Linked DNA regions of Oryctolagus cuniculus. The protein of the gene in region 1 interacts with the protein of each later gene in a pairwise test. Links are inferred from orthologs where the notes say so. Each region holds a gene or a part of one and is shown in the gene's direction. Other genes may lie near its edges.

The links. The genes of interacting proteins can lie anywhere in the genome.
Region 2: the proteins of BEND7 (region 1) and SMARCA2 interact in binary tests that used the Homo sapiens proteins (3 or more experiments, as listed by UniProt). The two-hybrid records come from large-scale screens. The link is inferred for Oryctolagus cuniculus from reciprocal best matches to the Homo sapiens genes BEND7 and SMARCA2.
Region 3: the proteins of BEND7 (region 1) and PPP1R37 interact in binary tests that used the Homo sapiens proteins (3 or more experiments, as listed by UniProt). The two-hybrid records come from large-scale screens. The link is inferred for Oryctolagus cuniculus from reciprocal best matches to the Homo sapiens genes BEND7 and PPP1R37.

Annotation. Positions count from the first base shown.
Region 1 is NC_091444.1:69,190,564-69,194,211, forward strand, and holds part of BEND7 (BEN domain-containing protein 7), read left to right. Parts: intron 1-1,780; coding exon 1,781-2,049; intron 2,050-3,648.
Region 2 is NC_091432.1:164,360,253-164,363,728, forward strand, and holds the end of SMARCA2 (probable global transcription activator SNF2L2), read left to right. Parts: intron 1-774; coding exon 775-917; intron 918-951; exon of another isoform or gene 952-1,057; intron 1,058-2,027; coding exon 2,028-2,063; 3' UTR 2,064-2,892; downstream 2,893-3,476. UniProt on the Homo sapiens protein: ATPase involved in transcriptional activation and repression of select genes by chromatin remodeling (alteration of DNA-nucleosome topology).
Region 3 is NC_091449.1:11,608,896-11,612,543, reverse strand, and holds part of PPP1R37 (protein phosphatase 1 regulatory subunit 37), read left to right. Parts: coding exon 1-50; intron 51-145; coding exon 146-312; intron 313-393; coding exon 394-1,102; intron 1,103-1,305; coding exon 1,306-1,388; 3' UTR 1,389-1,396; intron 1,397-2,049; 3' UTR 2,050-3,648. UniProt on the Homo sapiens protein: Inhibits phosphatase activity of protein phosphatase 1 (PP1) complexes.

The DNA of each region.
Region 1 (3,648 bases):
GAAGTCCACTGATTAGAACTGTGCAGGACCAGTGATTAGGGACCTTGTAGGGCCAGCTGCACCACTCCCTCAATGTAATGCAGTAATTTTAGCAGGTGGTTCATTTGGGATCGTAAAGGTAGGGGAAGGAACTTCCAGCTAAGGGAATGAGCCTGGGAGACTGCTGGGTGATATCTAGTAACTATCTGTGTTCAAGGCATTGTAGAGCTGCTCCAGTTCAAACTGGCTGCACATTAGACTCCCTGAGGAGCTTTAAAACAATGCTGATGTATGGGCCCCTGGAAATTTTGATTCACTTAGTCTAGGGCAGAGCTGATGCAACAAAGATTTTTTTTTTTTTTAAACTCCAGAGGATTCTAATATATAGCTAACCAAGGTCAGGAATCAGTGAGCTTGACTACCGTAACAATGGTTAAAAAACTTCTCTGTGCTCTCGTGTGCTGCAAGTAGTTTGTTTCTAATTCTTACAAATTGCCTTTCAGTCTGGTGATGAAAATAGCAGGATCAAAGTATAAACATGCTTTCAGACTGATAAGAAATGACTGCGGGTACACATTTGACATCGTGGTTGGGACAGTGCCTGGGACGCCCATATCCCGTATCAGAGTGCCTGAGTTAGAGTTCCAGCTCTGCTCCAATTCCAGCTTCCTGCTAATGCTTGCCCTAGGAGGCAGCCAGTGATGTCTCCAGTGGCTGGGTCCCTGCTCCTCATGTGAGACACCCAGATGAAGTTCCAGCTCTGTCTATTGTAGATGTTGGGGAATGAGTCAGCAAATGGGAGGTTGCTCTCTGCATCTATCTATCTATCTCAGATAAATAAAAACCTTTAGTTCTCATTTAGCTTATATGTTATAGTTTTTTGTTAAAAACCAGATATATCCTGTGTTGATATTTGGTTAAACATATGAATACATGAAGACTTAAATAAGAATAATAAGAGTGTTACATGTTTACCAAGTGCAAGTATGTATTCACTTTTGAGTTCTTAGTCCTTGGGCTTTGCCTTTCATCTTTGGACATCAGACTATTTCTAGAGTTTTCTAATATGCTGGAGTTGTACGGGATTATAGTATTCCTGTTTTGCAGCTGCATAATACAGAGATCTGGAGAAGCAGCCTGATCTGAAGTCATGTAACATGGAGCTCTCAAAATAGCTGGTGTGTGCAGAGTGTTTGGAGAAGAAAGAGTTACTGGGTCAGGTTAAGCGGCTAAGTTTTTGCACGTGCTTACTGCTCCCTATTGTAGAATCATTTCGAACTGTCTCTTTAGATCAGCTTTTACCAGATGATCATCACAGCTTCATCTTTGTCAGTATTGGCACCTGTAGATTCTTAGAAACCGATCAGTTTAACTCCAAATGAAACAGATGGAGTGTTCCTGAAATGTGCTTAGCAGAAAGCACTGGTACCTGTACCTGAATTTGAGTTCGGAGCTCTCTTTTATCTTAAAATGTCATATGATTTACAAGTCATGCTCAAACGTTTTCTCTTGGCTCGTAACTCTTTGCTTCCATTGAGCCGGGTCGTGGCAGTACGTTGTAGTGATTCACAGTGTTTGGAGCAGGTTTTTTTCCTGGGTGTTCTGCTGCTTCTAGGACTTTAAGGTGCTCCAGAGCCTGCATTTGGTAACCTTTAGATGGAATGTGAGATTTATTTTGGCGTGCTTCATCCTTGAGGGAGCCTCGCTTCAGTTTTGTTTGTACATTGCATAGACAGACCAGGGATAAGTTTCCTAAGTTAGACACAAGTGCCTGTACCGTATTTTTGTTTATTGTTCACAGTTGGAACACAAAACAGACAACAACCCCCAATTTCCCTTATATGCTCCCAGCGAACTGGTGTCTCCCGCAAGAGAACTAAAAAGAAAAAAGTGCCCCCCAAGACTGTTGAACCTCTCACTGTGAAACAGAAGCCCAGCGTGTTAGAAATTGAGAAGACGATGACAGCAGTGGCCTCTGAGCAGGCGGGGCTCCAAGCCACTGAGCACACCTCCACCGGGGAGAACCGGGTCCTGGGATTCGGCATTGTTCTCGAATCGCCTGCCTCAGATGTAAGTTGATAACCTTCTGGCTGCTGACTCGAACGTGATGTAACCGCCAGGTATTTTAGTATTAATACATTCTCCCCTGGACTAGTTCTCTCAAGACAACTAGAGAAACTTGCAGAATACATGTGGAAGAGAGGAAACGAAAACTCACAATTTCCTTGTCTGGAATTGTCTTTTCTGAATATTTTATGCTGTATTTATTTAAGCATGTTTCCATTCTTTATCTTTGGAAGAAGAAGGGTGAGGGCATAAATCATCTGCTCGCTAATTTCTTTAACATTTTTAATTTCTAAGTGGCAGTTTTCAATTTCCTCAATGTGGAGAACTAAAAGCACATAATTAAATCCTTAGTAGATGGACATAAATGAACAGAACCATACAGATAAGGTCATACCTTTCTGGAAACACAAACTAATAATAAAAAAGGAGCAGTAGTACTAATTCTATTTTATAGATGCAAGCTACACTGCTAATTAGGTGGCAGTGCCATGCCATTTCCTTCGTGTAATGATAGGTTAACGCTCTGCAAAGGTTCTGCTATTTTAATATCATAGTCAGAGTGTTGTTGCAGTCCAGGATGTTGGATTACACTTGAGATAACCATCTGACTTGCCATTTTGTCTTCATAGGACCATAAATGAATTTCTTTCATTACATGCTACATTTGCAACTGCATACTCCATTGACAGTATCTTTATCTAAGTGCATTTATGTTTCAACCCCAGCTTGTTGGGAGAGTTCTTAAAATAAACAAGAAAGAGTGATCTATTATTATCAGATTGCATAGGATGAGAATCCTGCTGAGAACTCCCACAGCCTATATAGGATTAGAGTTGGGCCCTACCTTTTAGATTCAAATTAAGAAACAAATTGCTATTAAAAAAAAAAAAAGTCCTGTTTTAAATTTAGGAAGACAGCTTGCTAGCATATATCCACATTAGAACCTTAGTAAAGGGTGGTGACAAAAGTAATCATCTTGTGACCTTTTCAGACTGGAAAATCGTTTTAACTTTTATCCAAACATTGGTATTAAAGAAGTTTTTTTTTTTTTTTTTAAATCTATGAACACATTTACAACTGTTTGGATGTTTTTCAAGACTAAAATGTTAATTTAAGAAAATCATTACTGTTCTACCCTAGACCAGGCAGCTCACGTGAATATGTCACAATGTTATTGCAGCTAAGGCTCCGGTCAAACCTCGGGTGGACCATGCATTTGGAAAAAGATGGAGTATTCTGCAACACAGAATACATTCCTTCAGTCCTGAGCAGTTTTCATGATGCTTTTTTTTTTTTCCCCCTTAAATTTTCTAAGCCTTCTTTTCTGACGGGCATTGTTCTTTCAGGACAGTAATTTGAGATACATTAATCATTTCCCAAATGGGGTGCCCTGATGCTAGTAACCAGTCTTTCTCCTTTTCTTTTTTATTTTCAAGCTCAAACCATACTTCAGAGATAAATCGAAAAAGAGTTGAAAAAAAATCTTATATGTGTGTGTGTATGTCTGTGTGTGTTTGAAATAGAATACAATTTTTGTTAGCTTTATCAATATTAGTATTTTGTTTGTATATTATTTTTAAAATGTTTACTTAAGATTATTTT
Region 2 (3,476 bases), on another chromosome or scaffold:
AGAGGCAAAAACCAGCTGGCCACTCCAGCCCGAGGGGACCGGTTGAGTACATGATAGCATGTCATACAAGGGGGTCTTTTCAGGTGGTACAAACATTGAGGAAGGTAGGCATGAGCTGATGGGTACACTCATCCCACATATGTGAAATATAACCAGCTACAAAGATCCTATTGGGATAAGTACATAAGTAATTCAGGTATAGGAGAGGTCTTCAGAAAGTGTGCAGAAAAATGCATGCATTTCACAGATTTTTATCCTTTAATGCCTTGTTCCATGAACTGGCTGAAGCACCTTTGTCACACATTCCCCACCGCCCTAGAAATAATAGGCTGAGGGAGAGGAGTGTTTACTCTCTTACTTCCTGTGGTAAAAGTATTATTCAACTATTGGTATTTTCCTTCTGCTTCCATCTGCTAGAGTGATCTGCACGCATCCTCTGCAGCCTTCCCCCCATTAAATGCATCCTGAACACTTCCCTGAAATAGGAAAGGCGCTTCCCATTCCCGCCGTCTGCCTGCAGGAGCCCGGAAAGAAGGACCCTGCCTGGGAGGCCACCTTCCCTCGCGTGGCCTGTGTACTGTGACAGCGTTCATCTGCCAAAGAGAGGCGTGCGTGTGTGGGGCCACCGACTGGACAGGACGGCAGGAGCTGGGAAGTTCCTAGGCACCCTGACCATGTGGCCAGTCATCGGTGGCTGCTCGCCTCGTCACTGGTTCGTGAAAAGCATTGCTGCGTGTCTCCTCACTGATGGCTCTTTCGTTTGTTCTTGCATAGCGAAATCGGTTAAGGTGAAAATCAAGCTCAATAAAAAAGATGAGAAAAGCCGAGACAAAGGAAAAGGGAAGAAAAGGCCAAATCGAGGAAAAGCCAAGCCTGTCGTGAGCGACTTTGACAGCGACGAGGAGCAGGATGAGAACGTGAGTGCAGTGCTGGCATCTTGCTCCCTCTCACCTGTGGGTGACAAAGTCGATGGGCGAGATGCCATCCCTGAAGGACGGGAACACAGCGGCAGGACTTCGACCACAGATCTGGGGGCTCTGTGCATTGCTTCAGTAGTCTGCAGAAAATAAAGGGGAGAAGAGAACTCGATTTTGTAGTTTTTCATCTTAGAAATTGAGTTTTCTCCATGGCCGATTCATATTTTGTATATCACGCCTGTCGTGCTGCCTTGTATATAGTAGATGGAAGAATGAGAAAAGGTGTTGGGATGTCGGAGTTTTGGACTTGAGTTGCTCAGTAAGGTGCCATATGAAAACCCAAATGACTTTTTAAGCACCTAAGGGTTTTTTTTTTTTTTAATATTTGAAAAACCTCAGGGAGCATTGATTGAGGCCTGGAAATAGGTGCCTTCCTGTATTGGTACATATTTATCCCAGCATCGTGTGCTGCCACTCTCAAAACATGAGAGTGATTTAGCCATTTTGCTGCAGGTCATCTAGCAAGTGACCAGCAGAGCTGAAATCAGACCAAGTCTGCACAGCACAGGACAGTGGCATTTGAACCTGCCCTACCTTCCTTCTACTTTCCCTGCCAATTTTTTTTTTTCTTTCTGGGAACTCATGTCCATGTTAGTATGATGGTAAGTTTCAGAGTCATCATCTTACACCAGCCTTAACCACTGGGCACAGTTGTTTTCAAATGCATTGAAAGCCCTGTGTTTTCCTCATACCACTTACGAGTGGAGCAGACAGGAAATACATGATGTTTTTCCTTCCCATGTATCTTCCAAGGCATAGGGCTAAAAACACAGAGTACTTAGCCACAAACCTGTAAACCCAGACTGAAGGGGAGCACCCACTAGCAAAAGTGGGGGTGCGTGTGGCATTGGGATTTTAATGACAAGCCCTCTTCTTGGCCTTACTGCTGTCAGTGCCTCTTGGGTGTGCTTCTGTCTTCCTGCAGAAAGATGTGGAGCCTCCGCTGTTTCTCAAAGGCCGTTTGTTCTTTCTCTGCCTGCCCATGGCTTATTAAGGTGTCTCCTCTCGTTCCTGGGATTTTATTTCATTTCCTCTTGTTTTTCCTTCTAGGAACAGTCGGAAGCAAGCGGGACTGATGATGAATGAACAGTCTGGACCTTTTTTCCTTGGTAAAACTGACTTCCTTCCTTCCCCTCTCTGCCCAGTGAACCTACTTGTCATAGTGGCACTGGGCCCTGTCATCATCCTCATCTATAAACTAGCTTTAGGATAGTGCCAGACAAACATATGATATCATGGTGTAAAAACACACACACACAACATTTGTAACATATTGTGACCAAATGGGCCTCAAAGATTCAAAGATTAAAAACAAACCAATCTTTTGATGGAAAATATGTGGGTGGATAGTATATTTCTATGGGTGGGTCTAATTTGGTAATAGTTTGATTGTGCCTGGTTTTATCACCCGTTCAGATGAGAAGATTTTTGTCTTTTGTAGCACTGATAACCAGGAGAAGCCATTAAAAGCCACTGGTTATTTTATTTTTCATCAGGCAATTTTCCAGGTTTTTATTTGTTCGGTATTTTTTTTTACACTGTGGTACATATAAGCAACTTTAATAGGTGATAAATGTACAGTAGTCACATTTCACCTGCATAGACATTTTTCCATTTTATGCTCTATGATCTGAAAACAATGCTTTTTGAATTGTATAAGATTTATGTCTACTGTAAACATTGCTTAAATTTTTTTTTTGCTCTTGATTTCAAAAAAAGTTTTGTTGAAAACGCTATTGAATATTGCAATCTATATAGTGTACTGGATGGCTTTTTTGGTCAACCTGATCTCCTATGTTACCGATGTGTATCGTCTCCTTCTCCCTAAAGTGTACTTAATCTTTGCTTTCTTTGCACAATGTCTTTGGTTGCAAGTCATAAGCCTGAGGCAAATAAAATTCCAGTAATTTCAAAACCGTGGCGTTGGTGCTTTCCTAGTAACGAGACACCATAGCTCTCCAGTGTTGCCTGTTACTCCTGAGTCCTAAGGGAGTGACCCCCTCATGCTTGAGGGGACTGTTTCCTGAAGGGGGCCAGGGAGGCTCCTTGGAAGGGACGAGAGAGAGAGAATGAGAATTCAGGTGTGTGTGCACCACGAGGGAGGCGCCATGGGCCAGGCCACACAAAGGCACTGCTCAGCCTTTCCTCAGGCATTAAATAGGCCTAGTTCTTTCCCAGGTGCCAGCGTAGTACTGTCTGTCGGTCGCATTGCTTCAGAGCCTTCTGAAGGCACTTCCCGTTCCCATTTTACAAACAGGAATACAGCAGTGGAGACGGTGTGGGCTGAGCACACCAAAGGTGGATTCGGGAGGTAAGCTCGCTCCAGAGCCCTTTCCCACCTCCCCAGCGGTAAGGCCTGGGACAGAACTTTCGGATATGCCTCAGGTCACGTGCCAGGCACTTGCTGGCACAGTAGGCATGTAACATGTAACAAAGGCCTGGCTAAGTCGTCTGGGTCCATGGCTGAGAACGGAACGTTCCTCTGAGGTCCAGCGTTGG
Region 3 (3,648 bases), on another chromosome or scaffold:
CCGCAGCGTGCTGCGCCTCGGCCTGGCCTCCACCAAGCTCACGTGCGAGGGTAGGGCGCCGGGCCGGGCTGGGCCGGGCCGGGGGGCGCGGGGCCGGCCTGCCAGGCACGGGGCCCGTGGCCAGCCCCTGCGGTCCCCCTCGCAGGCGCGGTGGCGGTGGCGGAGTTCATCGCCGAGAGCCCCCGCCTCCTGAGACTGGACCTCCGGGAGAACGAGATCAAGACGGGCGGGCTCATGGCGCTGTCCTTGGCCCTCAAGGTGAACCACTCCCTGCTGCGCCTGGACCTGGACCGTGAGCCCAAGAAGGAGGCGGTGAGCGGGGCTCCTCGGGGGCCGCGGGGCGTGCGGGCGGGCGGCGGGGCCCGGAGCCCTAGCCAGGCCACTCTGCCGCAGGTCAAGAGCTTCATCGAGACCCAGAAGGCGCTGCTGGCCGAGATCCAGAACGGCTGCAAGCGCAACTTCGTGCTGGCGCGGGAGCGCGAGGAGAAGGAGCAGCGGCCGCAGCTGTCGGCCTCCATGCCCGAGATCACCGTCACCGAGCCGCCGCCGCCCGCCGCGGCGCAGAACGGGGCCCCGGGCCCCGGGCCCGGCCCGGACTCGGACTCGGATTCAGACTCTGAGGGGGAAGACGAGGAGGAAGACGGGGAGAGGGACGAGGCCGGCGGAGACCAGAGTCCCTCGACCCCCTGCCCTGCCCTGGTGCCCCCCACAGACTCCCTGGGCCCTGGGGACAGGAGCCCCCCAGGGAGCCCCTCCTCCCCCTCTGAGCAGCGCATCTCCGTGTCCAGCCCGGGCCGGGGCCACAAGGTGTTCGTGGTGACCCGGGTGGAGAGTCCTCCCGAGAGGGCCGAGCCCCCTGTGCCGCCCGCCCACCTCTCCCCACCCTCCTCCCCACCCTCCTCCCCCTCCTCCCCTGTGCTGCCGCCAGCTGAGGGCGACGGCCGCCAGGACCCAGGATCGCCTGAGCCGCAGCCGCAGCCGGAGACGCCTCAGCCAGGGCCGCCGCTGCCCAACGGCCTGAAGCCCGAGTTTGCCCTCGCACTGCCCCCAGAGCCGCCCCCGGGGCCCGAGGCCAAGGCGGGCAGCCGCAGCCTGGACCACGGTGAGGCCCGGTGCCAGCACGGCCTGTCGCTTAGAGGCCCCTTGAAGGGGCAGGGAAGGTGGGGCTTGGGGCCTGCTGCCTGCCCGCCGCCCTCCCCGGGGTGGGGGCTGTGCACCTGCTGCCCAGTCTCTGGTGGGGACAGGCGGGCCTGCGGCTGGCCCGCTGCCGCCTGACCGGAGCCCCCTGCCCGGCCTCGCCCGCAGAGCTGAGCTGCCCCGAGAGCGAGAAGGAGCTGGAACAGCTGCTTCTGGAGGCCAGTCAGGAGCCGGGGCAGGAGACACTGTGACACTTTAGGTGAGGGGCGGGGCGGGGGCGGGGCCAGGGAGGGGCGGGGCCGGGGCAGGAGACACTGACACTTTAGGTGAGGGGCGGGGCGGGGGCGGGGCCAGGGAGGGCCGGGGCCGGGGCGGGAGACACTGTGACACTTTAGGTGAGGGGCGGGGCGGGGCCAGAGTGGGGCGGGGCCGGGGCAGGAGACACTGACACTTTAGGTGAGGGGGCGGGGCCAGAGCGGGCCGGGGCAGGAGACACTTTACGTGGAGGCGGGGGCGGGGCCAGGGAGGGGCGGGGCGTGGGCAGGAGACTGACACTTTAGGTGAGGGGGCGGGGCCAGAGCGGGCCGGGGCGGGGCCGGGGCGGGAGACACTTCAGGTGAGGGGCCGGGGCCGGGCCGGGGCAGGAGACACTGTGACACTTTAGGTGAGGGGCGGGGCGGGGGCGGGGCCAGAGGGGGCCGGGGCAGGAGACACTGTGACACTTTAGGTGAGGGGCGGGGGCGGGGCGGGGCCAAAAGCGGGCCGGGGCAGGAGACACACTTTAGGTGAGGGGCGGGGCGGGGGCGGGGCAGGAGACACTGTGACACTTTAGGTGAGGCGGCGGGCCGGGGCGGGGCCGGGGCGGGCGGCTGGGCGGGCTCTGCGCTCACCGCGGCCTGGCTTCTCCCCAAGTTCCTTTCTTCCGCTCGGTCTGGGAGGAGCTGAGGCCAGAGCCGTGAGAATCTGCTCACCGTCCTCGCCGCGTTCCGGGGCCCAGGACGCCAGGGGCGGGAGCCCACGACACTACCGGCGCAGGAGCCACGGGAGGCCCCGCCCTGACTTCACTTGTATTTATGTGCCCCTCACTCTGAGACTGGACACGGCTGGGGGTGGCCGGGAGGAGGAGGACGGGAGGCGGCGCCTGCGAGGCCGTCGGGCCGCCGGGCCGGGCCCTGTGGCGGAGGGGCCTGCCCGTGGTGGTGGGTGGTCCCCGTGAGCGGGCGCAGCACCAGGCAGGAGGCGTGGCGTGGGGGCACTGAGGTTCCTACATCAGCCCCAGGCGGGGCGGGGGGCGGGGGGCTGGGAGTGGAGGACCAGAGCTTTCTTTCTTAAGTGCAATAAATCTATCAGGGAGCGGGGGCGGAGCAGCGCGCACCCGGGACCCTGCTGCCCGGGCGTGAGGGTGCCCCGGAAGCACTACAGGCGGCGGGTGGGCGGGGCTGGGGGGGCTGCCCTGGCCGCGCAGCTCTGTCCACACCTTTTCTAATAAACTGGGGCTGGGCTCACCTCGCCTGCTGTGCTGCCGCCGCCCCGGGCGCCCCGTGCGCCCCGTGGTCCCCAGAGGCCGGGTGGGCCGGAGCCGCTTCTCTTCCCCGGCTCTCGGGGTGCCGGCTGTGCCCTCAGCCCCGGGTGTCCTGTGCCTCGGTGCCGGCAGACGCGCCTCGTCCCCACCAGCCCCCGACGTTCGGATGGGAACGGGCGCGGGGCCCGCACGGCTCCCGCTCCCTGCTGCCCAGTGTGGCTGGCGCGCAGCGGGAGCGCTGAGAAGTGCCGGGAAGGCTGTAGCAATGCCAGCCCCAGTACAGCCGGCTCCCCACAGACCCGGGGCCACAGTGGAGACTCCGTCTGGGTGCAGGGCTCACGCCACGGCCACTCCGCTGCCCTGTGGCACCCGTCCCCAGCCCTGAGCGTTCTCTGATGCCGGCTGTAGCTGGCTGGGAGGTGGTGTGAACATCCCGTCTGCGCCCAGCCCCCAGGATCCCGGCAGGCCCTGGGCCAGCTGTAGCTGCGGCCTGTGGCGGAGCCCCTGGGGTGCACCCACGCCCTTGGCCCTCTGCCTACACCCCTGCACCGGGGGTGCAGGGCTCGGCCTGTTCACCTTTGTGTGTGCCTCTGGGGGCTGGATCACATTCCCCCCACACAGGGGACCAGGGTCTTCAGGGAGACGACCAGGCTAAAATGGCAGCCTTGTGGGCTGCGGGCTAGAGTGATGGGTGTCCTCTAAAGTGGGGTGGAGGCAGCCCGGCAGAGCCCCGTGGGAAGACGGGATGCAGTGGGCGTGGAGGGCCCTGGACTGCCACCCACACCCTGGGAGCTGGGGGGGGGGGGGCGAGGAAGGGCGGCCTGCGGAGTGGGCCACGGTGGGCTCTCCCTCGGAGCCCCCCAGGCTTTGGCAGTCCCAGGTGTTGGGGTCCGGGTGCTGAGGGGACCTTTCGCCCTCAGCCACTAGGGTGTCACCAGGTTTGGGCCCCGCAGCCCTGGCTGAACACAGGACTCCACGTGACTGCTTGG